Linked DNA regions of Xenopus tropicalis. The protein of the gene in region 4 interacts with the protein of the main gene of each other region in a pairwise test. Links are inferred from orthologs where the notes say so. Each region holds a gene or a part of one and is shown on either strand. Other genes may lie near its edges.

Region 1 (4,273 bases), on a different chromosome or scaffold from region 4:
AAAAACAAAAACTGGAATGTAAACATTCACCATCTAAAAGCTTGTGAGTTTCTATAGAAGTCAGTGGGGGTTGTGATAGGAAAAGTCAAGGAACATTCTCAAACTCTAATCTTTCGAGTTTTCAAAGCTTGTTTCATTCGAACGAGTTTTCCTTATTAATAATTAAGCGACCATTGGATATGTGGATATTTGATTTAGAAAACCAAACTCAAATTGACAAAACTGATAAATAAGCCCCCTAGTGTTGGTATATATCAATAATCTTTGGATTCATTTCTCTTTTTTATCTCTTTGTAACAAGGAAAAGTCGATATTACTTGAGAAGAAGCGGCTGCTAGAGAAGGAGATTTCTCAAAGAATGTCAGACCCGTCTTATAAAAATGGGTAAGTCCATTCCTGACATCAAAAAAGGACAAATCTAAGGTTAACATTGACTAATGTAGAGTTCTACCTCCAGATAGGAAGCTCTGCTGCATTTACCCATATGACACCATTAAATTCCATGTGTAGGTTTGAGCCCATCCCCTCTGCATTTTACTGGTGGAAAGCTTCCTCTCCCTGACACGGCCAGTAACATTTAATAGTATTTTTAATTGGCTGAACCCCTACTGACACTGGGAGCCCTCTTCTACATCTATCCACCCCCTCCTACACACCTCCAAAAAGCAGATCTCGATCGGGCAGGTTAGAAAATCTAGTCGGATCGGGGACTGCATCAGGCCTAAATTCCCCCGATATCGCCCACCCGTAGGTGGGGATATCGGGAGAAGATCCGCTCGCTTGGTGTATGGGCACCTTAATTCTACAACAAGAATCAAACTCTCTTATATGAACTATTATCAACATCTATGATTAAACCCCATCTGGAGGGCCACATAGGTGCATCCCCCAATAAATTTAATTTCTAGCACTGTACAGTTTTATAGACAGGGGAATAATCTATTTTCTTCCCGCATACAATGAACCATCAAGCTGTGGAAACACTCGGATAGAGATAGCCACTGTTGAAGAGCAAATCAACCACTTGCAGCAGCTCATGATGTCCCAACACCAGTTCCTTCACGCTTTGATACAGGAGGTGAGATGAAAGTTGGTTTGTAACATATAAAACGTTATTAAATCGAAACAGAGAAACTATCAGAGCTCAAGAAGAATCCATCCACTTTCTAGTGGTATTTTTAGAAGCATAATTATCTATGGGTAAAAGTTCACCCATAAAAGTGAATGATAAGAAAGTGGGTGGATTTTTCTGTAGTGAACTCTGATCTTCCATTTTGAGATATCTGCCCCTAAATGTTACCTTTGTCTTAAAAGAAACTAATAATTGCATCTGTATCAACAGAGCAGGGAAGATCTGGCTTTCCTTGGTTTTATTGCTCATGATTTGTCTAGTTGTGTGATGGTTCTGTATGACTTCCTAAAGCTACTGGGATTCTGCTAATCACATTACAGAGAGTCAGGAAAAATAACCGTCCTGGTTATCTGAAGACCTTACTCCTCTTGAGAAGATCTCAGTAGCTTTATGAGAAGACCTTACTCCACTTGAGAAGATCTCAGTAGCTTTATGAGAAGACCTTACTCCACTTGAGAAGATCTCAGTAGCTTTATGAGAAGACCTTGCTCCACTTGAGAAGATCTCAGTAGCTTTATGAGAAGACCTTACTCTACTTGAGAAGATCTCAGTATCTTACTCCACTATATGAGTACTGTGAGAAAAGAAAGATGGTGGAAGGGAACTGGATCTTAACTTGAAGGCCAGTTAGAGTAAAATTTGGGGAAAATACTCCTGGAAGCTTAGCAAGTCAAATAGAGTGGAATTTGGGGTATATTTTGTAGAAACTATGGGCAATTAGCCACAGTTTTCTACAATCTTCTCCAACTATATAATAGTTGAAATTGACACGGTTCAAACATTGTGTTTTTCACCTTACCAGAATACTTATTCTTAATTGTTATTTTACCAAGGGTAAAGGGTTTTTATGTGTTTCATTTATGGTGAGGAGCCAATAAGGTGGTGATTTATCAACATTTGAATTTTTTTTCCATTAGTCGAAGTTTTTTTTGCTCTAAAACTCCCAATATTTATCTGTACTTGAATTAATATCCAAGTGCAAAAAAAAAAACTTCGGCATCTAAAAGCTTGCGAGTTTCTGTAGAAGTCAATGGGAGTTGTCCTAGGCAAAATCAAACCCTATTTCCAATTCAAGATATAAATAAGCCCATAATAGTAGGCAGACATCAAATTACTACATGCAGCACAATTCAAAAATGTTCTAGAAAGGCCCATGCATGGGCAGTAAATACCCATTGTGATGGCTTTGGGAATTTTTGTGAAGCTGATCCACTGTATCTCATACCTTCTAGAAGTGAAGGAGCCAGCACAGGAGGCTTGGGATGATACTGTAAAATAACAAAAACAATAATTCCAGGAATCTCAAGTTCCTTCATAATTGGCGTTGAGCTAATGGTTTCTTTGTAAACCACAGAGTGAAGACTTAAAAAATCGACTTAAAGAGCAAGACGTAACAATCGGGGATCTAAGGGAGAAGATCAGCTTGCTGGAAAGTCAGGTAATGAACCTTCTTAGTAAAAAATCAACTATTTTATGTGCTGGGTCAGTTAATTGATAGGATAATGACAGCAGGGCATCTACTGCTCTATGACTGGCCTAGAAACTGGCTGTTATGGTTTCACCTGGGCAAGCAGCCAAGGTTAATATGGGCAAGCTCTAAACGACTGTATATCAAACCCTTATCTCAATTGCGCAAGTGATTGGTACATTTGGTGGTTTCCCACCTGGGCTTTTGTACCAATAATCTGAATTTATGCACCTTCTTTCACCTACAGAATAAAGAACTGAAGAACAACGTGGAGCACTGGTCTCATGACAAGACAAAGGTGTCAAAAGGGACATTTGTAAAGTAAGGAACCTGCAGTATGTTGGTTGTTAATCTTGGAAAAGCTTGTGCCCTGATTGGCTGAACGGCTTATATAGGAAGCTAAAATCATTCATCGGCTTGCACACTATTTGTATATGTCCTCGTCTATGCGGCTCCATCTGTCCTCATAGTGCAGGTCAAGTGCAGGTAAGAAGACTGATTGCTTAGACAATCAGTTGCAGGGGCAGTCGGAACATCCTTCCACCAATAAAGCAAGACGTAACAGTTGGACAACTTTCCACCATTGCACTTGAGATTAAAATACCGCAAATTTACAGAGAAGCAGAAATTGTTAGACTTTGCATCAAAGCTTTACTTTTTACCTCCGTTTCCATTTTACTCACCATTTAGGCAACCCTAACGCTAACAGTGATGTGCAGGTCAACAAAAAGTCGACTAGCACCCACCCCTAACCCACCTGCTCCCAACCCAAACTCATTCCGACCCAGCAAGGCCCCTCTATTTATAGACCCGCACTTGACCCATCCATCTCTGATGTTACAAAAGGGGGTGGGGCATGCCTATAAATAGAGGCTGCCAGGGGCAGAAGCCAGTCGCGGGTGTGGTGGGCGGAATTAAGAACTCAACCCGCCTGCAACCTGGAAGTCTTGTGTGGAAGTTGGCCTGAACCTGCCTGACCTGTGGGTTTTGTGTAGGGATGCACCGAACCCAAGCATATGCTGATTAGGATCGGAAGGGGTTAAAAAAAATGTTTCACTGCCCATTTAACCCTTTCAGAATGCTAATTAGCATATACTAATTTGCTGGGACCGCAGATCCGGCCGAAACCAAATCCTTAAAAAAACTCCGGGATTCTCCCGAATGCCGAACCGAATCCGAGATTTGGTGCATTCCTAGTTTTGTGCCAGACTGCACTTCACTACTGTCGGACCCCCCTGGTGCTTACTAACACATGCACAGTAGAGTAATAATGGCAAGCTGGGGAATGTACCCCTGTGTTCTGTTGGTTATTACCCCGAGACCAGCCCAGGGAACAAACTTACCAAGTGGATTCAGTGGGGGTGCCTAACTTACTGGTAGCCCCCCAAATGAATCCTTCTTGTTTAATTATTTACTGTATAGACCATTTATATGGACCTTTGATTTGGAAAGAAGACCATTCCTTTTTCTTATCAACAAATGATCAAGTGCTTTTGACTTGCAGGGAGTCCATGTTCGACGCCAAGTCCCCTTACTCCAGGCTTTTACATTTACGGACCAGATATGTCACCGAGAAGAGCTGATCAACGCTAAGTGGGACCTTCCGTCCATCAAAGGTACATTCTGGACTTATCACAAGAAGAGCGAGAAAGGACGTCACACCTTACCCAACA
Region 2 (4,273 bases), on a different chromosome or scaffold from region 4:
AGCTCATGTAGAAGCCAATGACAAAGGTCCCTTTCCTTGAAGTTCTTTCTTTTTGTCTAGAAACTTTACAGATTTTGCTGGGTTTTGTCCAAAAATCCTGATTCATGGCGACACTTTGAAAAAGTCGAGTTTTTTTTTTATGACTTTTCTCACAGCAAGTTTTCCTTGCAATTTTTTTTTTTTAGTAAATATTAGACATTCAGGAAAACAAGTTTAGCCGAATTTGAAAATAAATAAAAATGAGAAATTATGGAGTTTTAGTAAATCTGCCCCTAAATGTCCATGTTGACTGTATGTACGTAGGAGAGACAATAAAACCAATTACGGACTGTATTTCCAAACACAATCAAGAATGAAGTAGTTAAATTGCCTGTCCCACATCATTTTAAACAAACCGGACATAGCACCTCTCAATTCCGATACGCTGTGATAGAATCGATCCCAGTACTTAGGCGTGGAGGTAATAGAGAATTACATTTGAAAAAATCTGACGTATTTTGGATTCATACATTAGAGCCCGGGGGATGAATCGTGATTATGATTTATATGTCTTTATATAATTATATGTCTTTATATATGTCTTTGTGTAATACTTGTACAATTGTGTTTAGCCATGTGTCTTTAAGATGAAGCAGGTAGCTGGTGCTGCAAACAGGAACAAAGGGACTTATGGGTATAAGAAGAGTCGATTAGGCAGTATATATCATGTTTGAGAAAGGGACGAGAGTCCCAAAAACGTCACATGTATTTTTTGTATAGTATAAGTTCTGCTTCAGTCTAAATTCTCATAGGTCAGTTTTTAAAGGAGACGTCCACCTTTTGGTAGGACTTTACCCAATACAGTAAATTGCTTAAAAAATGTCTCCTTTTACAAAATGTTTTAAAAATATGTTTTAGTCAAAGTATTCATGATAGAACTACTGTAGGTTGAACAAAGTGACAAGTTTTGAATACCCATTGACATGTGATACAGTCCAGTGTACATGTGATACACCCCAGGGGCCCCTGCACCCCCCGCTGCCCACCCAACCCTTTCCCCCGAGCGCATATGCAGTATAGTTACTTTTGTGTGCACTGGGGGGGGAGAGAACAGCAGCTGGATGGAGCTCGGGTCTGGGCCATCAGCACAGTCTAACCCTGAAGCTAGTTATATTATTCATACTGTGACTGACTGAAAATGAGGTGTCAGTTTCCAGACCAAAGACCCAAGCATCATGGCTCCTAGCTACATAAGCTGGAAATATAGCTATATCAGGTAGCCAGGATACAGTGCTTCACTATATGCATACTAAACACATGACCAATATGGCCTTTAACTACAAGCATTTGGAGATGTATTCTTGTAATCCAGCATTCCTACAAAGGAAAACAATAGCATTTTACATTATTCATGAGAATACAGAAATGTAAACTATGTATCTCCTGGGTATTTGACAATAGTGAAAAATATATGTGCGTAACAGATCATGCAACGTTTGAGAAATTGTGACAACCGACAAAGAAGAGTAACCACTTCCACAATATATGTTTCCATTATTGGGAAACAGGCCAAAAACACCCTAACAGCTCTAATTGTTTTAATATGCATGTGCAGCACATTCTCGAGTCATTTCCAGAAATGTGTTGTAATGATTTATGAATAGGCTACGAAACCTACATTCCTTGGAATTTGATATTTTTAGCAATTGCAAAACTTTTTTTACAGACTTAAAACTTATAACACTTTTATTTTTACTACTGTATATATATATGTATATATATGTAGGTATGTATATATATATATATATATATAATACTAACTCTCTGTTAATAGACTTGGCTCTATAGCTTTATAGCCAAAGACAGTCACTATTTAGTGGGCTGCTGGGGGGCTGTTTGACTCCGTGCACTTTAAATGCCAGGGCCTATTTTGAATCTAGTCCAGGCCTGCTGTTTAGGGACTCTGCATGTTTCATATGGCAGTTCTTATTTTTCCCCTTGTTGGCTTTGCTCAGATTGCCATTTATTTCAATAAAATAACATTTACTGTCAAAAACAAGTAAATCATTTTGCCACTTATTTAAAGGGGTAATTAACATGTTGTATGCTATAGAATGTCCTGTTCCTAGCAACTTTGATGCTGCATCAAATGAGGGTCACTGAATCAGCAGCCAAAACAGCATTGCTTTGTGAGACTACAGCTGTATTTTTATTGTTACTTTTTATTATTTATTCCTCCTGTTCAGATGCCAGTCTTTCATTCCAACTACTGCCTAGCAACCATATAGCCGCTGAAATACCAAACTGGAAAACAAAAAGCGAAATAACTGAAAAATCACTAAAAATAAAAATGAAGACCAATAGGAAGTTGTCCAAGAATATCAATGCTCTACATATTACTAAAAGTTATTTTAAGGGTAAACTACCCCTTTAATCTCTTTAGATTGATTTGTGAAGTAAAAGCTATATTTAGGCTAAACAAGTTATTCTGCATATAAATAATTTGGAATAGTAGTCACCTTTGCTTTGATCAAATCCCGTGATTTCTGCTCTCTCTCCTCAGCTTTAATTTGAACTAAACGCGTTAGATTGACCAGATCTTCCCTGCGTTCACTTTGCTCCTTCACAAGCTGCTCTTCTTCTGCAATGCACTGCTCAAGTGTATGGGCTTCTGCCTCAGTCAGAGTTTGCTGAGTTGTAAAATAAATAAGAATGATTAGCGACAGCAAACATCTTGTTCATGTAGCTATATGTGTTTTATTCTATAACTTCTTGTTATGGCTTCTCATGGAAGAGCTCCCAGTATAACTAGATGGCAGAGATATTATTTTACTTATGCTTCAAATGAGGTGTTCCATGTCTGTTGTGAATGCAAGCTATGCCCACTGAGGTTTATTGTGTGGTCATCAAGACTGAAACATCAGAATTAAACCTTTAAGTGAGTATGCAAGCAAATCATTTTTGTAATAATCCATTTATTAATTTATTAGCAAGGCTCTTTCATTTCAAATATTAGAGGTCAGATAATGCACTTCAAACATTAAAATATTCTGCATAACATGTTCTGGTGTATCAGTGTGCATCAGTGTATCCATTTGCAAACACTTTTTCATATAAATACTGTAAACCTTTTTAAAAAGTTTATACATTTTTAATAAAAAATGATTGGGTTATAGTTCAGCACAAATAATCAGAAGTATACGGCTGCTGATTCCAGGTGTCTGTGAGCCACCCCAACAGTATATCATAAGATCGAAAGCCAAAAAGGAATCAAACAGCTCCAAGCAGCATTTGAAAAATGCAGTGAATTTAATGGCAGTGTCAGCACACTACATGTTTCGGGCAGAGCCCTTTCTCAAGTCAAAGTCCAGTTAAGTCCAGGGCCAGAACTAGGAGTAGGCAGAAGAGGCATTTGCCTAGGGCACAACAGTAATGGGGTGCAGAGCACATGCCTTTTCTGCCTATTTACCCCTAGTTTTAGCCCTTCTGTACCTCTGGAGGCTGTCAGCTTAGGGAAGGTGAGAGTTCAGAGAACTATCAAGCCCTGCCTCTGCCTGTGACCTGGGGGCAGAGTCAATAAATGGACCTGCCTGAGCCAATACCGTCATTAGGCCCACCATGGTAAAGTCTGCTCCATCTTTTCATTAAAATATAGTAACTTTAGTAGAGTGGAGTAGGGCTAGATAGTTATTGAGAATTACCTGATAACTTCAAGAATGAGCCATGAAAAGTTGGCTAAGTATAGTAAGTGTAGTTACAATGCAGTAACGTTTTCTGACTCTGTTGGTGGAAATTAAAAAAAAACAAAAACATTTAAGCACTTAAAGAGTGCTTTTATTTTCCTTTGGACACATTGTGCTGTGCATTTTCCATTGAACACTAACCCTGCAACTCCAACTGGGTATTAAAAGGGCAGTATAGTATAGTTAACCTGAGATTAATGAATAGGACTTGAGAAAATGCCCCTGCATAATGAATTCCTGCAAACAAAGCAGGCACAGCAGAAGGTAAAGCAAAGGGTTGTATTCTGGTAATCTAACAGAATGTTCATAGGGGACAGCTACTGAGGATGTCAACAGAACAGTGAATTTGAAAGAAGGAAGGAAACCGACCTGTTGTGCAAACTGTCTTCTTATTACTTCTACTTCCTTTCGTAGCTCTTTTCTCTTCTCAAGCAGTGCATCAGCTTTAGGAAAACAGTCAACCTAAAGTGCAAATAAGAAAATGTGGGGCGATTTATCTAAAATCAGCTTGTTTGCCACTTCACTATGCATATTAGGTTATAAAGGCTGTC
Region 3 (4,273 bases), on a different chromosome or scaffold from region 4:
TAAACTGGTAAAGAAATGTTTGGATGGCAAACTACCCCTTTAAATTAGTGGGTATCCCTTTTTACTGAATTATTCTACAATCCACAAAGCAAGAATACATTTATAAATCTAACTGGTACCATTTTTAACAGTGCCAAAACAGCTTGTTAGAAACTTGTTCAGTGTTGGGCAATCAAAAATAAAAAACTTTTAAAAACTATTGATCGCATTGTATTGTGTATATTACTAGTTCTGGTGTGTAAAAAGAAGGAATGCTAGTTTTGGGTGTAAAAAGGGGAACAAAACCCCATAAAAATAACTGATGGAAACTTACTCAGGGTGCTTCTCTGAGAGCTTTTGTTTATTTTCTATTTTTAGTGATTTCTGAGATATTTGCATTTTTAGACTACTAATACCTGGCTTTTGGCTCAACTGAGGGACTGAGCTGTATAACTGAATACAATTAAGGTTGCTGACACTCAAAGGGCATATTTATTATAGTGTGTAAACATCACCAGTGATGTTGCCCATAGCAACCAATCAGATCTTTGCTTTTGTTTTCTAACTTGTAGGTGACCGTTCAAATCTAGTAACTGATTGGTTGCTACTGGCAGTTGTAATGTTGGCTTACACACTTTAATAATTATGGTCTTGAGAGAGCTGCTAGTATAGTATAAAGAGTATAAAACTGCTAATTTCACAGGAACCAATAAAAATACAGAATGTATTTAAATTGCTAAAATGCTCACTCTGGATAAGTTTTAACAAAGTGTTTAATTTTTTGGTTTAGATCTCCTTTAAAAAAAATTACAACCAAGTTACTACTGGCAACACAGTACTGTACACTGTACATTACATACAATTTCTGACTCAACTGTATGTGTGTGGTCTTTTAAAATTACTGTTACTAACCATCTTCTGGTGTAATCTAACCGATGGAAAACAAACGCATCAGTGACAATATGAGGAATATGTATTAGCGCAGAAATGTATTGGCAAAGATATGACTGAGCAGCTCACTTATGTTTAACATAAAAATGAGGGGATTAATGTACTTTCCTCATTTGTGTGGCCTTATTGCTCTAATGAGGGTCATTTATAAAGATTGCTTTAGTGAGCAGTACTAGTTCATTTGGTAATCTTTAATACTGCAGTGGTGAACAATATTTGTCTTATTGTAATTTCCAGTAGGTCATTGCTAGTCACCATAATTCAATTTCAAAAGTTTGTTTTTCTGGTCAGATGTTTAACATAACAATTCTTCCAGGTGCTTTTGGTTGTTTGGCTGTACAGTCCTTTGTATTCAGTAAACCTTTGTAGAACCACTGGTAAACTAAGCCATGGGGGGCAGGTTCTCTTGTTTTACAATGCCCTCTTTGTAGAAATGGAAATTCCACAGGTTTCTTGTGCTCTTTTCCCAAAATTATTCTTGAAATTCCCTCAACGTTTGCAGGACTCGTCTGAAATGCAAAAATAAAGCAGGAAAAAAATTAAGCAACATATATGTGCATGGCTTGTAAAACAACAACTTATATGTAGCTCTCAAGCCCATTTGAAACTACAATACAGAGTTTCTGGGTGCTGTATTTTAGCAATAGATGAGGAATTACAAATACATGACTGTCAAGGTTGGGGTTGTTTTCTTGGGACAAAAGGTGCTTGCGAGGGGACATGATTACTCTGTACAAGTACATTAGAGGGGATTATAGGCAGATAGGGGATGCTCTTTTTTTAAAAACGATCAATGCACCAGAGGCAGACTTTCATTTGAAGCAGTGTGTTTTTTTTTACAATGAGGGCAGTGAGGTTGGGGAATGCCCTTCTTAGTGATGTTGTAATGGCATATTCTGTTAATGCCTTTAAGAGGGGCCTGGATGAGTTCTTCAACAAGCATAGTATACAAGGCTATTGTGATACTAAAATCTACAGTAACGGGTATATTTATCATGCTGTGTAAAAAGTGGAGTGAAGTGTTACCGGTGATGTTGCCCAGGGCAACCAATCCACAATTAGATTTCAACAGTTAGAAAATCAAATCAAAGCATCTGATTGGCTGCTCTAAGCAACATCACCGGTGATGTTTTACTCCACTTTTTACACAGCATGATAAATATACCCCTTAGTATTGATGTTGGTATATATGGTTTATGTATGTGAGTGTATATATAGGTCAGTAAAAGTTTATGTGTGCTAGGTTTACTTGGAAGGGTTGAACTTGATGGACTGTTTTTTCAACCCTATGAAACTATGAACTTGCTTAAAACATAAAAGGGATAATTAGAAAGAAATACAGTGAAACCTCAATTTTACATACCCCAATTTTAAGTTTTCCCTATTTTACACCAGTATATAATGCATAAAGCATTTCCCTAGTTTACATTTTCCCTTGTTCTTTGAAAAAAGTAAAATGGAGGTTCTACTGTATAATAGCATCTCTAGAAGGATGTCTGGGAAGGGCAAGTAACAATGTCAGTTTAGAGAGGGGAGCATATAAGAAAGGAAAAAGTGATTTATTTTTTTCCAGCTTACCGACTATAAGGGCTTTTCTTCTCAAGATACCCCCTAATAAGACACTGTCCTCTTCTTCATCATCTTCAGTTTGAGGAACTGGTGTTGCAATGGCCTCTGGTTCATCTGGGGGTCCAAATTCAGCTAAGAGGGAGCTCTCTGAGGGATACTCAAATGTGCTCTCCAGTTCAGAGTCAGGGAAAGAGATATTTAACTGTAAAAAAAAAAAAAAAAAAAAAAAATAGAATGTAGGTAAAAAAGTTTCAACAAAAAACATTTTTTGCCATTGAAGTCCCCGAAGGAGCATGGTTCCACATACTCTGACATACCTGTTGTGTTTTATATTTTATGTATTAGGAATGTACATAGAGGAAGCAAACCCTGCAGTTGCTAGAGGGCCCAGGGGGTAAGGTGGGCCTAGAGGGACACTAACTGATACATAGTTTTACTTTTTTTTTTTTTTAATGAAAATTGTCTTAAAAAGGAAAATGAACAACTCCCCCCTACCCCAGGCTTCCTTCACATTCTCCTGCACCACCTGTTACTCTCACAAGTGTGAACTACTTTAAAAATTCTGCTGTTAAGGTGGCCATACACGCACCGATATTATCGTACGAAACCTCGTTTCGTACGATAATCGGTGCGTGTATGGCATGTCAGCGAGCCGACCGATATCGCAGGAAGCTGCTGAAATCGGTCGGCTCGCCGATCGGCCAGGTTAGAAAATTTTGATCGGGCGCCATAGAAGGCGCCTGACCAAAATTCTCCCTTCAGAGCTGAATCGGCAGAAGGAGGTAGAAATCCTATTGTTTCTACCTCCTTACCTGCCGATTCAGCCCTGAATGGTGTGTGGCGGATCCGACGATGTTTCGTGCGACCGATGGTCGTACGAAACATCGTCAGATCGCCACGTGTATGGCCAGCTTTACTCTCACAAGTGTTCCTATCTGTGTACCTGCTTTAAAAACAAGGTTGGCAGGCACTATTTTACTTTGTTGTTGCCAATCTGGACTTCAGAACAACCATTATCTTTATTTAAAGAGGTGTGCTAATGAAATTACCAAACAGTTACCTATTGCAGTCTTTGATCTCTTTTATAGGCAAGGCACTTTTTGTAACTCAGGGAATTCCTAGCCAAAATCTGTTTTAGTGCTAGAGGCTGTTGCAACATGTTAAGCTATGTAAGAACAAGCTGTATTTTGTATTACAGTCCTTTTAATAGTAAAGAAATTATTTGGAAACCAGTGATGGGTTAATTCCCAAAGACCTACTAATCTTAATTGGATTGCCACTTAACAAGATTTTGGCATTATGGGTCACTGAAAAGACTGGGCGCAGGATGGCCAGCTGAGCCATCTCAGTAATGAAGGGGGGTTAAGAGTAAGAAGGGAGGGGAAGAAGGAAACATGGAGGGGAGGTGTTGCTATGTGGGGAACTTGCGGCGGAGGGGAAGGGGGGGGGGAATAAAGCAGTAGGAAGAGGGACAGAGACGTGTGCCCAGTCACAAAGCCCCTCCTTAACTGCTCATAATCTCATTACTGTATCTTTTGGCCCTGCTCAGTGGTTAATCAAAGTTCATTATCTCATTTTCTATTTAAATCTCAACCCTTTCTCCAGCCATTACCCTTCCTCCACCTCTGATCTTTTTCTTTTGCCTTTAAATATGTGTGCTTTCTTCTCTTTTTCTATTTCTCTTTGTCTTTTCCTTAGCATTTCACAGTTCTTAGTAATGTCTGTCTTTCTTCCCTGCGGGTCTCCCGTGTCCAATACCACAGATTTTCCCTCT
Region 4 (4,941 bases):
TGTTCAGAAAGTGACCAGCAGGTGGAGCTGTGGTAACAAAATGCATTCTTATTAAAGTGATACTGACATGAAAAAATGACTTTTCAAATTATGAATCTACATAAAAAGTTACCTATAGGTCATGTTGATCTTTTTTCACTGTTAGGGCTGGTTTTGTATGTAATTGTTACTTGAAGTTCCTAAACCTGACTGTTTTGCCAACCTGACTGTCCCTTCTCAGCCTGTCAGTTATAGCTTCTAATGCTAACGGCCTCCTGCTGCACAAATATGGCAGCCCCCTCACAGAAGAACATGGGGGATCAGATAAGGAATGTAAAAGCATCAGCAAATACTTTTATGGCAAAATTATAAAGCTCATGCAAAGACAATGTTATGATTGATGTAAAAAAGGTTTCATTTCTGGTGTCAGTAACTCTTTAACAATACTTTATCCCTTAATATCTTGGCATTAAAAAAATAATTATGAATGTAAATTGCAAATGTTCATCAACTTATTTTGAAGTTTTCTTATCCTTTAAAGAATATCCTGGCTATAAAATACATTTTTCTCACATACTTACAGTCAGATTATAATAAAAGCTACTATTGCACGTTTCCATCTGAGAATAGCCCCTGCCTCAGTAGAGCTTCTAATTTAACCTCACTGGCCAAAGAACCCAGTTATACCTTGAGCATTCTTTCCCAGGCCTCTTCCTTGCACATAACCCATCTTCTGAAGAAGTTTCTGGCCGATTCCCTTGGTATGCCGCTCCCAAGAACCAAAATCTGTGTTTGACTTTATTCCTCCAGCAAATGTCCTCTGTGATGGTTTGAAATTACCACCCTGTAAAATACACAAACTGAAACTGACTGAAGCTTTGGAATGAAACAATGAATATAGTGTGTCTTTCTTACAATAATAGTTCTCTCTCTTATAAATGGATGGTTCGTCCTTAAGTTAATTTTAAGTAGGTTATAGAAGAGCAAGTTCGTAGCAACTTTTCAATTGGTCCTCATTTTTTTTAAAGAGGGTCACTGACCCCGGCAGCAAGAAACTATTGCTCTGTGAGGCTACAATTACGCTGTTATTACTTTTTTTTTTTTTTTTTTAAACTTATCTTTCTATTCAGACCCACTCCTGCTATTATTCCAGTCTCTCATTTGAACCACTGACTGGTTGCTAGGTTATGTTGGTTCATAGCAACCATATAACTGTTAGAATTCCAAACTGGAAAAGTGCTGAATATAAAGCTAAATAATAATAAAAAAAAAAAGAAGACCAACTGCAAATTGTTTTAGAATAGCAACCAAAAGTTGGTTTAAAGAAGAACACCCCTTTTAACCCTGTCAGACTATTACTATTGGGAAGTACAAACACTCCTTAGACTCATCCTACCGTCCTTAGCTTCTTTGCCTCAAAATCCTTTGGGAAAGTTTCCCTCCTTGCTTGCGTTTCACTGTCGGAATCGCTATCAGATTTTTCTTCTGCAGCAGGCTTACGGATCCCAGCGCTGATAAAATTGACAGGGGCCGAGTAGTCTCGAGACCTATGAAGAAATAAAATGAAAGGTGTCCGTATTGGGTGGTGCTGTATCATTAACTGCACGCAAGAAGGTGACTATTACTATTGAGTGACCCCTCCTACCAATCTAAAGACCCACCAACCTTTTCCCCCCAAAGCTTGGCCTCTCATCATCAGAGTCCCGCTCTGCCCACATCCCATAGGTCGCCTCCTCTTTTGTTTGGAAATGCTTTCTGCGGTTGGGGTTAAACTCATTCTGTAGGTCCCAGTCCGTGATCTCAAAGTTCTCCATTTCCACTCCATCGCTGTCCTCATCTTTGCCATAAAGGTGCGACATAGACATGGTGCCTGAGAGAGGGAAACAATATTTAACAATATATAAGTTGTTGTGTTTTATAGAATGGCCAATTCTAAGCAACTTTTCAATTGGTCTGCATTATTTATTTGTTATAGTTTATTAAATATTTGCCTTCTCCTTCCAACTTTTTAGGGCTCTGGCACACGGGGAGATTAGTCGCCCGCGACAAAACTCCCTGTTCGCGGGCGACTAATCTCCCCGAGTCACCGGTGGGATGGCACACGCGGCAGCACGATTTCGGGAAATCGACGAAAAAGCCTTGCGAGGCAACTTCAGTGATTTCCCGAAATCGCGCCGCTGCGTGTGCCATCCCACCGGCGACTTACATTGTCGCCGGTGGGATGGCAACTGGCGGCAACTCGGGGAGATTAGTCGCCCGCGAACAGGGAGTTTTGTTGCGGGCGACTAATCTCCCTGTGTGCCAGAGCCCTTAAATGGGGGTCAGTGACCCTGGCAGCCAGAAATCTATCGCTCTGTGAGGCTACAGTTTTATTGTTACTTTTTGTAACTTTAATTTTCTATTAAGGCCTTCTCCTATTCATATACCAGTCTCTTGTCCAAACCACTCCCTGGCTGCTAAAGTAACTTGGCCCTAGCAACCAAATAGCTGGTGAAACTCCAAACTGGAGAACTTCTGAACTGAAAATAAAATAACTAAAACACTACAAATAAAAAAATGAAGACCAATTGCAAATTGTCTCAGAATATCACTCTCTACATCAAACTAAAAGATAACTCAAAGGTGCCCAACCCCTTTATGGCTATACAGGGTTGTGCCTTGGGGCCCCCCAAAACATTCCATGTCCTTTTCCTTGGATTTAGGTAAAAAAAAAAAAAGACAAGTGATAGAAATAACCTTGAACAGTATATGTCCAGTCGGCTGCGTTCCCCCTCCTGATTGGCCAGAATGGCTCAGTAGCCACAGCCAACCAGAGAAGTACTACTACTTACAGTGACCCATAAGGGGTTAAAGAGGGCCATGCTGAAGTGAGTGATGGGAGAGGAATGGGGCATGGAGTGAGTAAATGGCATGCTATGGAACTGGATGCATTACCCAGATACAATGCAGCAATCAATGTAACAGCATTTAGTAAGGGACAATAATCACAGGTCAGGATTTAAACTACAACTCCCATAATCCCCTCAAACAGTTATGGGGAAGAAACTAATAGCGCAGCCATTGACACCAGACAGGTACACATGGCCATTCCGCTCCTGTGCGGGAACCAGACACCCCGTATTCACTGAGCAGCCCCGGCTTAGTTATACCAAACACAAACAAGTGGGGCTAAATGCTAAAATAAGCTTCCATGAGGCGTCATAGTTACCGATATTCCAGTTCCAGGTACCTGAGCCCCGGGTTCCACAGGCTGCAGTAATGTACGCGGCACACTTCCGGTCACGCCTACACAATGACGCGTACGGGACGCGACACCGGAAGTAGGGTTCTACAAGCGTGGGGTTGTGTCAGAATCAGACTGGCAGGATTGGAATAGGGGCTACGGGCTAGGGGCTTGGTTGCTAGGGGCTTGGTTGCTAGGGGCTTGGTTGCTAGGGGCTAGTTTAATATGCAAGCAAGTGGGGTTCTGCAAGCTTGGGGTTGTGTAATAATCAGACGGGCAGGATTGGAATGCTAGGTGCTTGGTTACTAGGGGCTAGGGGGTTTGGTTACTAGGGGCTAGGGGCTTGGTTACTAGGGGCTAGGGGCTTGGTTACTAGGGGCTAGGGGCTTGGTTACTGGGGGCTTGGTTGCTAGGGGCTTGGTTACTAGGGGCTAGTTTAATAAGCAAGCAAGTGGGGTTCCGTAAGCTTGGGGTTGTGTAATAATCAGACGGGCAGGATTGGAATGCTAGGGGCTAGGTGCTTGGTTACTAGGGGCTAGGGGCTTGGTTACTAGGGGCTTGGTTACTAGGGGCTAGTTAAATAAGCAAGCAAGTGGGGTTCTGCAAGCTTGGGGTTGTGTAATAATCAGACGGGCAGGATTGGAATGCTAGGGGCTTGGTTACTAGGGGCTAGGGGGCTTGGTTACTAGGGGCTTGGTTGCTAGGGGCTTGGTTACTAGGGGCTTGGTTACTAGGGGCTTGGTTACTAGGGGCTAGTTTAATAAGCAAGCAAGTGGGGTTCTGCAAGCTTGGGGTTGTGTAATAATCAGACGGGCAGGATTGGAATGCTAGGGGCTAGGTGCTTGGTTACTAGGGGCTAGGGGGTTTGGTTACTAGGGGCTTGGTTACTGGGGGCTTGGTTACTAGGGGCTAATTTAATAAGCAAGCAAGTGGGGTTCTGCAAGCTTGGGGTTGTGTAATAATCAGACGGGCAGGATTGGAATGCTAGGGGCTAGGTGCTTGGTTACTAGGGGCTAGGGGGTTTGGTTACTAGGGGCTTGGTTACTAGGGGCTTGGTTACTGGGGGCTTGGTTACTAGGGGCTAGTTTAATAAGCAAGCAAGTGGGGTTCTGCAAGCTTGGGGTTGTGTAATAATCAGACGGGCAGGATTGGAATGCTAGGGGCTAGGTGCTTGGTTACTAGGGGCTAGGGGGTTTGGTTACTAGGGGCTAGGGGGGTTGGTTACTAGGGGCTAGGGACTTGGTTGCTAGGGGCTTGGTTACTAGGGGCTAGTTTAATAAGCAAGCAAGTGGGGTTCTGCAAGCTTGGGGTTGTGTAATAATCAGACGGGCAGGATTGGAATGCTAGGGGCTAGGGGCTTGGTTACTAGGGGCTAGGGGCTTGGTTACTAGGGGCTAGTTTAATATGCAAGCAAGTGGGGTTCTGCAAGCTTGGGGTTGTGTAATAATCAGATGGGCAGGATTGGAATGCTAGGGGCTTGGTTACTAGGGGCTTGGTTACTAGGGGCTAGTTTAATATGCAAGCAAGTGGAAAGAAGCGATGGGCAGGGATTGTTTTCCCACGCAGAGTGGCGAATCTGTGCCCCTAAGGGCAGTGCCAGGCTCACAGTGTGTGGGGATCTGAATCACTTAATGTAGTTTGTTAATAGCGAAACAATTGAATTAATTTCTTTAATTGGTTGTTTTCCTTTGTTAACTATCGGTATGTTACAGAACAGCTTTTCCTATTGGTCTTCATTA
Region 5 (4,902 bases), on a different chromosome or scaffold from region 4:
GCCAATCTTAGCCCTTATTTGGCACCTCCATGAACTTGAGATCTATTTAGTGAATTATATATCTTACTAGAACTTTAATTGGCTTCTGATTAAATTGGCCCTTGTGTATGCCTATCATTAGGTCTGGCAATCTGTGGGTCCTGGGAAATGCCAGAGGGGCTGCTGTAAGATGCCATAGACAGTCACTATATATTGGGCTGGTGGGGGGTCTGTTTGCGCCTCTGTGTACTTGTAATGCCAGGGCCTATTTTGAATCACAGTCCAGACCTGCCTATCATACACTGTAATATTAAATGGCACAGGGACTGACGTGAAGAATTTATCGTTCTCTGTGGAGTGCTGCGCAATATGTCAGGGCTATACAAATACAGGGATAGATTACTGAACACCTGGTGGGCCACAGACTGACACAGGGACATGACAATTGGGAATAAAGAAATGTTTTCTTTTTTTAAAGGGGTGGGGAAGTTTGGGGACACATTTTACAAATGTATTTCCCGGCTACACTTTGACTGTGCTGTTCCCGGAACAACATCACAAAAGAGGTAGTTTGTTTATCAGAGGGGAAGGTTCCTGACAGCAACACGTGAGGCAGTGGCTGCCAAAGGCCAAGTGTGTGCGAGCGCTGAGTCATGTTTGGAAAGAGAGCAGTGCAGGCGATGAAGCTGACGGTATTACAAGCAGCTGACAGCGGCTCCTAGTGAAGCAGGAACAAGCACACAATAAAAAAACAATTGGGCACGTCTGGATATTTTCCACCACATCTGACCTAAGAAGCCCTGCAGTTCATGTGTGTGCCACCGCCATTAGTGCAAATTGGTCTCAGCAGAGGTATCCCACTGTGGCACACACGCGAGAAAGCCCCAGACACAATGGATTGCGTAACCGGAAAGGGCACCACTCAGCCAAGAGGAGCCATGTACTTTCGCTGAACTACAATTACAAGAAACAATGGCCAAGCAGTGGCCCTAGGGGTGGCGATTGGAAGGTTCTGGGAATTGTAGTGCAACAGAAGCTGAATGGCTCCATGATGCCTACTGTTTCCTATTGCAATAAAAAGTTTCAGACTTAGGATAATAGGATTTATAGGCCGTGCCCGCAATTCAGTTTCTACCTAGTGGGCCTCTTGTTCTTAAGTACATAGTAGCTGAGGTTAAAATAAAGACAAATCAAATTCAACCTTGTATTAAGGTCCAGTACTTTTGAGATTTTTTTTTATCATCTACTATAACTATATTTTTGACATATTGGACTTGGGTAAAAAAGAAAGATATTAGAAGTATAGGTTTCTGTATAAATACAAGAGGCTCTTTCTTCCCAGTAGGAAAAGGGGGGAATTTTCATCAGCTGTAGAGGAGAAATGGGTTATTGTGGTTGCCTTTTCATATGCTATAAACCAGGGGTCCCCAGCCTTTTTTACTTGTGAGCCACAGACAAATGTAAAAAGACTTGGAGAGCAACAAAAGCACCATAAAAGTTCATGGAGGTGCCAAATAAGGGCTAAGATTGGCTATTAGGGAGCCTCTATGCACCCTTATCAGCTTACAGGGGCTTTATTTGGTAGGAAATCTTGTTTTTATTCAACCAAAACTTGCCCCCAAGTCAGGAATTCAAAAATAACTACCTGGTTTGGGGGCACTGAGAGCAACATCCGAGGGGTTGGGGAGCAACATGTTGTTCATGAGCCACTGGTTGGGGATCACTGCAATAAACAGATAAGGAACCGATGGCGACACACACTCATACACAAGCACGTGCACACAAGCAGGGATGCAAACAAATGGAGTGAAAGTGGAGGAAGAGGAATTAAAGTAACACACCGCTAGGCTTTCAGCTGGATCTTAGCATTTTCATATCTGATATAAAACAAAGTGATGAGTGCGACTGTTTCTCTCTGCTTGGCTCTTGCAGTTGTCTCTAATTGCAGAGGTGCTGCTATAAAATGGCTAAAGAGCCTCAAGGCTTTTCCTTTCATTGTCACTCTGGATTCTCTCTGCAAACTCCAAGTCATTTAATCCCAGCTGGATCCTGCTGAGCTCAAGTGTCCATCAGCGCCACACAAAAACAGATGTGCCGTGTACATCTGGCAGCAGCTACCCAACGCCTGACCTCCGCTGCCAGCTTATCCTGACTCAACCTTCTGGAACAGGGTCATTCTCTCCTGGCACCAAACATAACAGCAGCCTCTCAGATCTCCAGGCAGTTGTCTTATTACTCATATGTTTTGTTCCCACTCTAACAGACAAGTATGGAAGAGGACTGAGGACTGAAGTGAACCCCTCTATAAAGCAGGGGGCAGTCATAACCTGGGCAGCAGGATAAATACTAAACACCCTGCACAGTATTCTCTCCAACAGGCAGGAAAAGCTCCTACAGATGTTTAATTGAGATACAGCTCTTAGCATCCAGCAGTAGCCTTTGCCAGCTGGTAAAAAAGTGTAAGATGTAGTTCAGCAACATCCACAGGACTGATAGCTCACCAATCTGCTAGTACCTACTCTCCCTTTATGAGCCATAAAATACCATCAAAAGTCACTTGTGACTTTAGGATAAGTTTTAAACTGCATAGTAAGTCCATTTCTGCAGTTGTTAAACTGCAACTCACACACGCCAGGAAGCTGAGCTCATCAGGAACACGGGCGGGTTTAACTCTATAAATACTAAGCTACAATCTGATATCGCCCGTTCGTAGCAATGAACTTGTTCAATAGCACTAGTGCAAATTCTTTTTTACACTAAAGTTTCTGCCCTTACAGATAACAATCAAACCAAAATGTAAGCAGGAAAGTAATGTCACCCAAGTGCTCTATAAGCAGCAGCGCATCATCCCCTTACTGCATCACTGCACCCAGCGCTCACACAGGGCACCCCGGCTGGCAGAATGGTTTGACCCGGCTGCGTTCCTACAGACCCATACATAACATCTGCACGCCTCAGTGGAAGAGACCACTGCAGTCCCCAGACAGGTGTACAGCCCCGCTGATCACTTACTTTTGGCGGGGGATCCGGGCAGGCAGGCAGGGTGCCGTGTGTCCTCTCACCTGCAGGGTAGCGGCAAGCTCATTGCGTGAAGTCTCTCTGTGAGTGTGTTTGAGAGCGGCTGGGGAGGGACCGGCTGTGATTGGCAGGCGGAGCAATGATTGCTTCACATCCCCTGTGTCCCGTATCCCCGCTGCCCTTTTCTCGGTCGATTCACACTCGGAATACAATTCACTGCTCGGAATACAATCACTTCAACACACTAAGCCAGGAAGAGTTAACCTGGCGTCCATTCTTTGGGCCGTGATATGGCTTCTGTTACCAACTTTGTTTTACTGTACTCACTACCAACTACTTGCCATAAGCCAAACAGTATTACCTGCACCATAACCATGTATCCCCATACTGAGCCCGGGGATGTGCTGTAATGTACACACGCCCTTCCTAATATAAACACTGTGAGCTCTGACTGATTCCAGCTTGCCTATAATCTACTCACCATAGGAGCTTTGTGGGGGCCCCTCAGCTCTTTATCAGTCCCTTTGTAGCTGTGTAGCATTTGGGTATTTGTACTATGCATGCCAGTGATGCCCCCCCCCCGTCACTCTGTGGGTTTTGGGCGGCAAATGCCAGAGGGGCTGCTGTAAGATGCCACAGTCAGTCACTAGTTATTGGCCTGGTGGGGAGATGTTGGGCCTCTGTGTACTTGAAATGCCAGGACCTATTTTGGATCCTATTCCTGGCCTGGCTAGGTATGTTGTATTAGTCAGTTCTCACTGATAGCGGCCTCCCTTTTCCATGACAAAATTCCCAACCTATTAGAAAAAGTCCATCTTTATGGACTTAATGAGGCAGATTTATCAAAATCAGAGTTTGTGTAGTTTAAGGGCGAGGTCACATAAAACATATACGCTTTTCTTAAGGTCCCCAATACACCATACAGATGTCCTTTAGAACGATTCGGCAGCTAATCGGCCTGTGTATCGGGGACCTTTAGCCCTATGTTTTTCAGCCAGGCTGAGAGAAGTGGATCCTCTTCCGTACACTCCCCTGTGGACCTCAGCGGAGTGGAGGTTGGCCTGGAAAATGCCCGATTTCGCATTTTTTAGGCCAACCTTCGATCTACTCCGCTCTGTGTGCCCACACTTGGGCAGTTGCCATAGTTTTTAAGACTGAAGTCTTTAATGAAGCGGATCCGCAGGGCTGAGAAAAGCACATATCTCATACACCTCTCCCTTAGAGATTTTTTCTACCACCACTAAACTCATAAATGAGAAAAGCATAAATGAATTTAAAAATAAAAGCAAAAACCCCTAATTGTGAATTTTACATAACTTAAATAGCACAAGTAGCTCCCCCCAAAAAATATGTAAAACTCAAATACCTCGAAGTAAAAGGGCCGCATAAATATTGCCTTGGACAGCACCAAACTGACTTCTACATGACTGCGACAGCCTTTAGATGGAGTATTTTTGCATTCACGCTTTTCATGGTTTTGATGCATAATACATGGTGAAAAATCACTTTTGTTTAATTTTAGTTCCAAAAAATGAATTGTAGAAAAAAATTACAAACATTATAAATGGCCTCCAATGTGTGAATTAAAGCAGTTCTACAAAGAAGAGTGGGCTAAATGACTCAGCAACAATGTGACAGACTGACATCAAATGAATCATTTTGCAATTATTGCAGCTTACGGTGGAGCGGCCAGTTATTATGTATAAGGGGGTAATTACTTTTTCACATGGGTGATGTAGGTTTGCCACCCGGACAGAATTTTATTGGGCGAGCCAGCAAACACCCTATCACAGCTGGGGCCAGTATTACCACATTTCTGGCAATGCAGTTGCTGATAAATTTGTAATACCCCCCTTTTCTGCCCCTGACCCACCCATTTAAAGGAACAATGACATGTTTCTGTAA
Region 6 (3,839 bases), on a different chromosome or scaffold from region 4:
ACGTTGTGTTGGACGGCTGCTGATGTCTCAATGAACTTGCAGTCAAACACCACAGCACATGCTCTGCCCTCTGAAAACAGAAAGTGGAGACTATGGTCACTGGAGAGTTCCTAGATTCACAGTTGAAACAGTAAGGGGGGCAACTTTATGTTACAGTTAAATAGCCATAACATTTTTTAACCTTTCTTGACCTTGAGCTTGCTTGAGCTTTTTCATGGGTGTTTATGTCTATGATTGTTGCTTTTTTCTTGATATGGGATGTTAAACCAGTAAGAAGAGTCAGTCATGAGAGTGGGAACTGATTGAGTTGGCCCCCATAGCATCACAGGCAGGAACAAGGGTGGGAGGTGGAACCTAGGCCCCCCCTTTCATGTTGGGTCAGCTGTATGGTAGTTACACTACTTGTGGCAAGGGCACAAAGGCCCAGATATAAGGTGGCAGGACTTTAGGGGGCAGAACACCACCCAACTGCATCTAAATTGGGGTTGAAGCACTGGGGATGTGCAGGAGACAGAACTAGGGGTAGGCAGGGAAGGCAGGTGCCTAGGGCACAACACTGGGGGGCAGAGATCACATACCTTCTCTGCCTATTTAGTCCTAATTTGGCTCTTCTATTCCTCCGGAGGCTGGCGGCTTAGGGAGCGGGAGAGTTCTCGCGAGAGTTGGGGAAAGCTAACTTGCCCTGTCATTGGGCTTGCCTAGGGCACAACAGTCATTAGGCAGTCATTAGGCCCACCACTGGACTTGATAGTTTTTAACTCCCCTGCTCAACGATGGCCAATGCTCCATACCCAACAAGGAAAATTTACACATACTCATGCAAGAAGGGGAGGGTGGTGGGCACAACGAGTAGTGACGGGGGCCTAGGGGTGCCAACTATATAAATCCGGAACTGTACTTGTAAATATAAAAATATCATCTCTGAATTCAAGCTAAAAGTTAAGATAAAATTTGTGGTACATGTATAGTGGCTCAGTGATCCCAACCAGCATCTCTGTACTATGGATATTGGCTGGTTTGTTGATTGGGCAGGTTTGAAAATGGCCAAGACATGGTGCCTTGGCAGATGAAGTGAAGAGGAACTGTAGATCTTTACTTTCTGCTGTTTCCATCATTTCTTTGGCCCCAGACAACTGAAAGGTGGCTATATTGTTTACAGCCCCTGTTACAGTATTTGTCTCACAGATACCATACAGGATTGGTGTGTGTATGCCCTCTGATTCTAAGAGGAGTGGGAGGCAGTAAGGATAAAAACATAACAATGACCCATTACAGCTTTGTCACATTTTTGGACTTGGAAAACACCACAGATTCACTGCAGCTTCTCATAGCAAAAGTCCAAAGTTTTCACAAAGCAATAAAATGATTGCTATGCATATAGCAACCAAGATAAATGAGCCACAGATCATAGCAACTGATTGCGCCTTTATGGCTTATGTGGTACATGGAATTCATTATCCAACTAAAAGCTGGGGAAAGAAATCATGAACTGATACAATGTCAGCACGCAAAATCTTTCTTTTCTTTTTCAGACATGAACAAAAAATGGAATTTGGCTTTTAATTGTATGACATTTGTAGCTTATGCCAGTGGGTTTGCTTAGTAGGAAGCATTTAAATGTGTGTTGCACTTACCTGAGACAGAGACCTCTCGGCAACGGACAAGGTCGCTTTTATTGCCCACAAGTATAATGGGGATGTCCTCTGTCTGCCGCGCCCGACGGAGTTGTATGCGCAGCTCAGAGGCTTTCTCAAAGCTTGCTCTGTCAGTGATGGAGTAGACAATAAGGTAGGCATCTCCAACCTGCATGCACTGCTCACGGATCCAGTTGTCTTGAGCCTGGCAACAAAACACACAAATTGTAGTTGCAATTTATGGGTGGAACCATAAACCACTAGCAAAATATCTTTAAGGAAGGATATTAGTATGTATAGCTATATCTTTGACTCTAATATACAGAGAACAGTGTGCCCCATATTGTAAAATATAGGTATATTAGAAGTCACCAAGGGATTCCATGACCATATTTTTTTGGTGCATCCCTAGTAGACATCCCTAGTAGACATCCCTAGTAGACATCCCTAGTAGACAGTGCAGGAGAGAAGTAGATATATACCCTAGACAAAAACCCTCTATATACCCTAAACAAAAAGTGCAGGACAGCAGCCCCCATGACAGGGAAGAGAGGCAATACATACAGTGTAACGTACCTTATTTTCCCACATATCGATTAGAATCAGAGTTGCGCTTTCTCCGTCCACCATCAAGTTTCTTTCATAAGTGTTTTCTTAAAGAGAAAAGGAAATTAATTTATATATTTTGATTTACTGTGTAACTAGGGCAAAGTTTGAGATGGACCTGTTATTAAGGCATTGGAAACAAAATAAAGAATCTGCTATTTCTCTGTATTTGTCAGCCCTTCAGATATTGGGCCTCATGTATTTAACTTGCAGTCCACTTTTAGGCCCATTGCTTATGGTCCTGTGTTACTACCACACATCATATATACTGTATATACTCAAGTATAAGCCTAGTTTTTCAGCACCCAAAATGTGCCGAAAAAGTCACCCTCGGCTTATACTCGAGTCGGGTGCCATGGGTCCCTCTAGGCTAGCACTCTCTCTCCTTTGTGTGCAAATTAGGCCTCCCGCAACCAGACCCTCCAGTGCCCTGGCCTAGGCTCCCACTAGCAATACTTATTTCCCCTTACATCTCCTCCGGGACTGGGTCTGCTGCCAGTTTGCCAATGTGCAATGAGCGTGGGGTAGTACTCATATTGTTTTTGTTGACCCTTTTCTCCACTTACAGAGCTAGTTTACTGTTTTTCTTTTAAACAAATATTGAAAAACATATACCCCACTGATGCCTCAATTAATGTCATTTTATTGGTATTTATTTTGATTGTTAAAACTTAGCAGTAGCTGCTGCATTTCCCACCCTAGGCTTATACTCGAGTCAATAAGTTTTTCCAGTTTTCTTAGGTAAAATTAGGTACGTCGGCTTATATTCGGATCGGCTTATACTAGAGTATATACAGTAATTTAATACACAAGAGCAGTGAATATATGTAAATTATATCCTATATAAATGTTGATTTGTGATGTAATTTCTGTCACATGACTCACTGAAACGTGTGTATTATAATAAATAATGTGATCCCTGTTTTAAAATATGGGGACATTAGAAGCCACAATATATGGTCATTGAACTCTTTGGTGACTTATAACATCCTTATATTTTACCATAGAGGGTACTTCATTGACTATATAAAGTCTAATGTCTCTTTAGATACTTGGAACTCCGATCCAACAAACCGTGATTTGCCAGAAGGTAACTCTGCTAAATATTGTTTCCCATATAGTTTCTACTGAACATAATAAAAACACTTTTTTGCACGGCTGCCTTCAGTGGATAAACTCCAGATTGCACGGTAATGGAAAAAGTGACTTCACCTCTGAGAGAAAACACAGTTAATTTCTCTGCTGTCAGAGGAATCTCATGCTCTTGCCCCCAGCTCCACATCGCTGCCTGCCTCAATCTGTCTGCGAACTTTCCCCATGCACAACGACCATACATAGAGCTTTGTATCCCTTAGGTAAATATGACAAATTGACTTGGAAGGATTGCACTTACTTTTGCATACATAGAACGCTACCTACAAAGGACTATACTCAGAGCTATTGTTTAGGTACCCCAATAGGGGTTATTCCCAAGGGGCCTAAAGTAACATGTGTCTTAGTCTTAGTCAGCAGCCCTTCAGTTACTGGATTTCCATAAAAATTCTGGTTGTTTTCAAGCTCTAAATTAACAAAGTCTATAGGATTTGGAAAGACCGAATC
Region 7 (4,273 bases), on a different chromosome or scaffold from region 4:
ACAGCATTGCTCTATAGTATGGCAAGTAATTGAACATGAACATTTAAAGGGGTAGGGTCATCTTTTCATCAACTTTTAGTATAACGTAGACAGTGATATTCTGAGACAATTTGCAACTGGTCTTCATTTTTAATTTTTTATGTTTTATTTGGTTATTTAAGTAAACGTTTACTTAACAGCTCTCCATGTTGAAATTTCAGCAGCTATTTGGTTGCTAGGGTTTATCTTTCCTAGCAACCAGGCACTGTTTTAAATAAAAGACTAGAATATTATTAGGACAGGGCCTGACTAGGAAGATAAGTAAGAAACAGTAACACTAAAACTGTAGCCTCACAGAGGAATAGTTTTTAAGCTGATGGGGTCAGTGACTGCCATTTGAAAGCTGAAAAGAGGCAGAAGAGAAAAGCAAATAATTAAAACCATGTGAAAAAAAAAATAATTGACGCTCAATTGCAAAGTTACTAGGAGATACCTTAAAGATGAACCACCCCTGTAAAGAGCCAGCAATCCATATAGGTGCCCACATGCATTTCTATGGCAGGGGTGAATACACTTTGAATAATGTTAGCTTTAACAATAAAACTTCCCCTTTGTACTTCTATCTACATTCATTTTGGGTGACCAATAGGCAAGATAAATGTCCATCCTGCTCTGCCTTGAAACCTGCCCTGAGTGAAAGTACTCATTTAAAAGGGAAGTTTGTCTTATTATGTATTGAAGTATATTTAAAGGGGACATATACCATCATTTTTCAGAGTGCTTTAATGGATGTTTTTTAATGTAAAATAGAAGGAATTGGCTTTTTTTGGGTACATTTCAAGTGAAATTTCATGAAATTGGCCAAAAACTGCTCTTGTTATGCTCCTATCCTGGACTTCCGGTTTAAGACTCTGTATAGTTTGCTAAAGAGCCGCCGGCTCTCACAGCTTCATTACTGAGGGCTTTGACTGTGAAGGGAGGGAGGTGCTTCTAGTGACGTCAGTTTGGCCGTTTGCAATCACCACGTACTTGCACATAGATCTGCACCGTTAATCAGCCACCTGCCAGCTACCTGCCCACCGCTGTGCCGTACCCTGCTCCCCCCTGAGAGACATTCCATCCTTCCCCCCCCTCCACCCTGCGAGCCGTTCCACCCTTCTCCCCCGTGAGAGCCACCCTGTCTGCTTCCCCTGAGAGCCGTTCGTAACTTTTGACAGCTGCCCCTGCGCTTCTTATAAGGAACGTTCGGCTCTGTGCTCCTTTCAGATAAAGAAGCACAGAGCCGAACGTCCCTTATAAGAAGCGCAGGGGCAGCTGTCAAAAGTTACGAACGGCTCTCAGGGGAAGCAGACAGGGTGGCTCTCGGGGGGGGGGGGGGGGAGGAGAAGGAGGCTCTCGGGGGGAAGCAAAACAGAAAGACTCTGGGGGGGGGGAGAAGGACAAAACGGCTGTCAGGGAAAGGAGGACACAATCAGCTGAGGGGGATGCAGGCAGGAGGACAAACTTCCTTTATTTATGTAAAAAAAAAAGGTTAATAGTTTGCAGGGAGTTTTATGCACAATTTATTGCCATCAGCTGTGATATAAAGGGCCCTCCAGCAGGCCCCCATGAATAAACCTCTTTCCTATAAAGAAAGTTATTATTTACCAGCTGGAGTGCCATCCAACTTTCATGCTTTCGTGTTATTCTCATTGAAAAAAAGGCCCGTCCTAACGGTCAGTGAAGCAAAACTAATACAGGGGCAGGACTTTCTGACTGTCACTCAGAAGTATGATCACTTCCTGAGGCAGCATGAGAGGACACGCCCAGTCCTCATTTCAGCTTAGACAGCAGAGGAGAAAGGATCTCTCTGCAGCTTTAGTATAATTACATTTTTAACAGGTAAAATGTTTTTAAAACCTTCTTTTATAGAAGCACTATACATTTTAGAGAAAGGGGAATATATTACCAAAAAATGAGTATGATGCAATATGTCTCCTTTAAAAATTAGAAAAGTCCAACATGAAAATAGTTGAAAATGCAATCTTCATTTTACATAGAGCACTGGGTGTGTAAAGAGCACCCATTTTTGTTGCCTGCAGAATACTGTAAGAGGATTAGGCCAGCAGCACAAGGGCTTCTTTACTCTCAGTGTCACTGATTGCATCTGCGCTCTGATGCTTCTAATTAAGACCTGCTTCTGGAATTCCAGGCTAAAGAGTCATACCTCTTCCCGAAGCTCTTTCATTCGCTCTTCAAAGTCGTAGTCCTTTTGCTTTTCTTCCATTTTCTTCTTATTAACTTCAAATCTCTTCTTGACTTGATCGAGTGTTGACCGCTCTACTCTCATTGACATTCCCAAGTTCCTTTGATCTGATATAAAGATCATTTTCAAATTAAAGTAAGAACTGCCATTTACAAGTTTTTTTATTGGTATTATTTAATATAGACTAGAAACATATCTCTATGTGAAGAACAGCACTGCGGGTTTGCACTGGCCTGTACAGTTTCCAGTGCTGCAGGCCAGTAGGATACATTGCACTATACACGGTTCTATAAGCAGCCATCGTTATGCCCTGTTCTCTCCTACCACAAAAGGCACAGCATTACACCAAGAACCAGAACGAAACAAACCAACCAGTCCTTTTCCACACATTCTATATTATCTATTCATTTTCTGTGCACGATCCTGGATTACACTCCCCTTCCATATGCAACATATCACAGAACCTACAGTGGCAGCAAAAAAGGGCCATCATAACAGTAACATAGAATCTATTGTTCTGGGTTCATGCTTACTGGCATCACACTGAATGGCAAGATTAAATGGGACAGAAACGGTTAAGCTGGCGATTTTCGATCTTTCGTGCAACCATTGGTCATTCAGGGCTGAATCGTCAGATTTGGAGGTAGAAACAATAGGATTTCTACCTCCTTCTGTCGATTCAGCCTAAAAAGGCAGATTTTGCTCAGGCGCCTTCAATGGCCCCCGATCAAAATCTTTTAACCCACCCGATCGACAAGTCGACCGATATCAGTAGCCTTCTGCAATATCTGTCGCCTCCCAAACTTGCCATACACGCACCGAATACCGTACAAAACGAGGTTTTGTACAAAATTATCAGTGCGTGTATGGCCAGCTTTAGATGACTGCAGTCTGCTTTATTCCCGCAAGCATCTCCAAAGAAGTTACTGTTCTAGCTTGTATCGTTAGCTATGCAGCAACTGGCCACAAGCTCACAGGGCTCCTATTGTGTTTAGATTCCCATTATGGGAAATGAGATGGGGACATTGCCCAACTGCAGAGTAGGTGCAATGACTTAATAGGGGATGTGGCCAGTTAAATTGTGCCAGAAATGGGTAGCAGACACAACAGAACCTTAACACTTCATATCAGCAACAATCGGCATTAGCCAAAACAGGCCCTGAATGTTGGAAACCTATTTGATATAAAGACTAGGTTTAAGGACTCCTGCTACCTGCTACTTCTATTGTGTCTGGTGCAGAAGTGTAGAATAATTCATCATAGCACGTTCCCTTTATTACACAGTAAAGCCTTTACTGTCAGTTATTCAATGCAGCTAAAACTTTACAACTAACTAAAGAGAATGCACTCAAATGAAAGCTAATTGATTAGCGAGGAGTCACCAGCGCCTGTTCTCACTGATAAAGAGCATCACATTTGTTTAAATATATAGCCTTCAAAGCAAAATGTCAAAATGTCTCTTTTCCTTGTACGTACGTCACCGCTTAACAATCAGCAGTTAATTACATGCGTAACACTAACACATGCCGGGGATTCAGCAGTTTTCAAAATTGTGATTTACTGAGCAATTACCTTCCTCAACAAAATTTTTTTATATATAGATCCACCTCTACACCCACGCTTAATAACGGGCTCTAAAGAAGACTGCGGCTATATTTTATGGAGGTATAGAGTACAACCTAACCTGAAATAATGGCTAAACTTTTAGTTTATGGAGGTATTATGAATTCCTGCAAAATAAATGTAAGATCTATTGATATGTAAAAACCATGTCATATATTAGGATATACATTATTTGCGGATTCATTTTTGTTCAAAACACACTGATACCCTTTACTAAGAATGTTTCAAATAAATCTACCAACAATTACTTCCATTAGAAGCTGCATACAGCTTAAATGGCTTTACTGAACCCTAATTCAGTGCCATTGTAGGAAAGTTAGATTTAAATCTATGTTTAAGTCCTAATTAATAATTCATTCAGATGTGCACTGCATGACTGCAAAGAAATAAGTGAAGCCAGCAACACACATCAAAGTTGCTTACTGA

Evidence for each region.
Region 1: the proteins of tfip11 (region 4) and ccdc68 interact in binary tests that used the Homo sapiens proteins (3 or more experiments, as listed by UniProt). The two-hybrid records come from large-scale screens. The link is inferred for Xenopus tropicalis from reciprocal best matches to the Homo sapiens genes TFIP11 and CCDC68.
Region 2: the proteins of tfip11 (region 4) and ccdc146 interact in binary tests that used the Homo sapiens proteins (3 or more experiments, as listed by UniProt). The two-hybrid records come from large-scale screens. The link is inferred for Xenopus tropicalis from reciprocal best matches to the Homo sapiens genes TFIP11 and CCDC146.
Region 3: the proteins of tfip11 (region 4) and ppp1r18 interact in binary tests that used the Homo sapiens proteins (3 or more experiments, as listed by UniProt). The link is inferred for Xenopus tropicalis from reciprocal best matches to the Homo sapiens genes TFIP11 and PPP1R18.
Region 5: the proteins of tfip11 (region 4) and bmf interact in binary tests that used the Homo sapiens proteins (3 or more experiments, as listed by UniProt). The two-hybrid records come from large-scale screens. The link is inferred for Xenopus tropicalis from reciprocal best matches to the Homo sapiens genes TFIP11 and BMF.
Region 6: the proteins of tfip11 (region 4) and gem interact in binary tests that used the Homo sapiens proteins (3 or more experiments, as listed by UniProt). The two-hybrid records come from large-scale screens. The link is inferred for Xenopus tropicalis from reciprocal best matches to the Homo sapiens genes TFIP11 and GEM.
Region 7: the proteins of tfip11 (region 4) and zmat2 interact in binary tests that used the Homo sapiens proteins (3 or more experiments, as listed by UniProt). The two-hybrid records come from large-scale screens. The link is inferred for Xenopus tropicalis from reciprocal best matches to the Homo sapiens genes TFIP11 and ZMAT2.

What each region holds. Positions count from the first base shown.
Region 1 is NC_030677.2:203,243,207-203,247,479, forward strand, and holds part of ccdc68 (coiled-coil domain-containing protein 68), read left to right. Parts: intron 1-301; coding exon 302-384; intron 385-972; coding exon 973-1,078; intron 1,079-2,486; coding exon 2,487-2,570; intron 2,571-2,847; coding exon 2,848-2,921; intron 2,922-4,104; coding exon 4,105-4,183; 3' UTR 4,184-4,273. UniProt on the Homo sapiens protein: Centriolar protein required for centriole subdistal appendage assembly and microtubule anchoring in interphase cells. Together with CCDC120, cooperate with subdistal appendage components ODF2, NIN and CEP170 for hierarchical subdistal appendage assembly.
Region 2 is NC_030679.2:78,127,390-78,131,662, reverse strand, and holds part of ccdc146 (coiled-coil domain-containing protein 146), read right to left. Parts: intron 4,185-4,273; coding exon 4,092-4,184; intron 2,670-4,091; coding exon 2,499-2,669; intron 1-2,498. UniProt on the Homo sapiens protein: Essential for sperm flagellum biogenesis and male fertility.
Region 3 is NC_030684.2:75,504,259-75,508,531, forward strand, and holds part of ppp1r18 (phostensin), read right to left. Parts: intron 2,702-4,273; coding exon 2,509-2,701; intron 1,440-2,508; coding exon 1,420-1,439; 3' UTR 1-1,419.
Region 4 is NC_030680.2:15,107,563-15,112,503, reverse strand, and holds the start of tfip11 (tuftelin-interacting protein 11), read right to left. Parts: upstream 3,300-4,941; 5' UTR 3,188-3,299; intron 3,014-3,187; exon of another isoform or gene 2,716-3,013; intron 1,850-2,715; 5' UTR 1,845-1,849; coding exon 1,645-1,844; intron 1,527-1,644; coding exon 1,376-1,526; intron 824-1,375; coding exon 667-823; intron 1-666. UniProt on the Homo sapiens protein: Involved in pre-mRNA splicing, specifically in spliceosome disassembly during late-stage splicing events. Intron turnover seems to proceed through reactions in two lariat-intron associated complexes termed Intron Large (IL) and Intron Small (IS).
Region 5 is NC_030684.2:114,268,635-114,273,536, forward strand, and holds the start of bmf (bcl-2-modifying factor), read right to left. Parts: upstream 3,345-4,902; 5' UTR 2,992-3,344; intron 2,898-2,991; exon of another isoform or gene 2,798-2,897; intron 1-2,797. UniProt on the Homo sapiens protein: May play a role in apoptosis. Isoform 1 seems to be the main initiator.
Region 6 is NC_030682.2:127,873,697-127,877,535, forward strand, and holds part of gem (GTP-binding protein GEM), read right to left. Parts: intron 2,288-3,839; coding exon 2,211-2,287; intron 1,840-2,210; coding exon 1,635-1,839; intron 71-1,634; coding exon 1-70. UniProt on the Homo sapiens protein: Could be a regulatory protein, possibly participating in receptor-mediated signal transduction at the plasma membrane. Has guanine nucleotide-binding activity but undetectable intrinsic GTPase activity.
Region 7 is NC_030679.2:26,879,776-26,884,048, reverse strand, and holds part of zmat2 (zinc finger matrin-type protein 2), read right to left. Parts: intron 2,332-4,273; coding exon 2,186-2,331; intron 1-2,185. UniProt on the Homo sapiens protein: Involved in pre-mRNA splicing as a component of the spliceosome.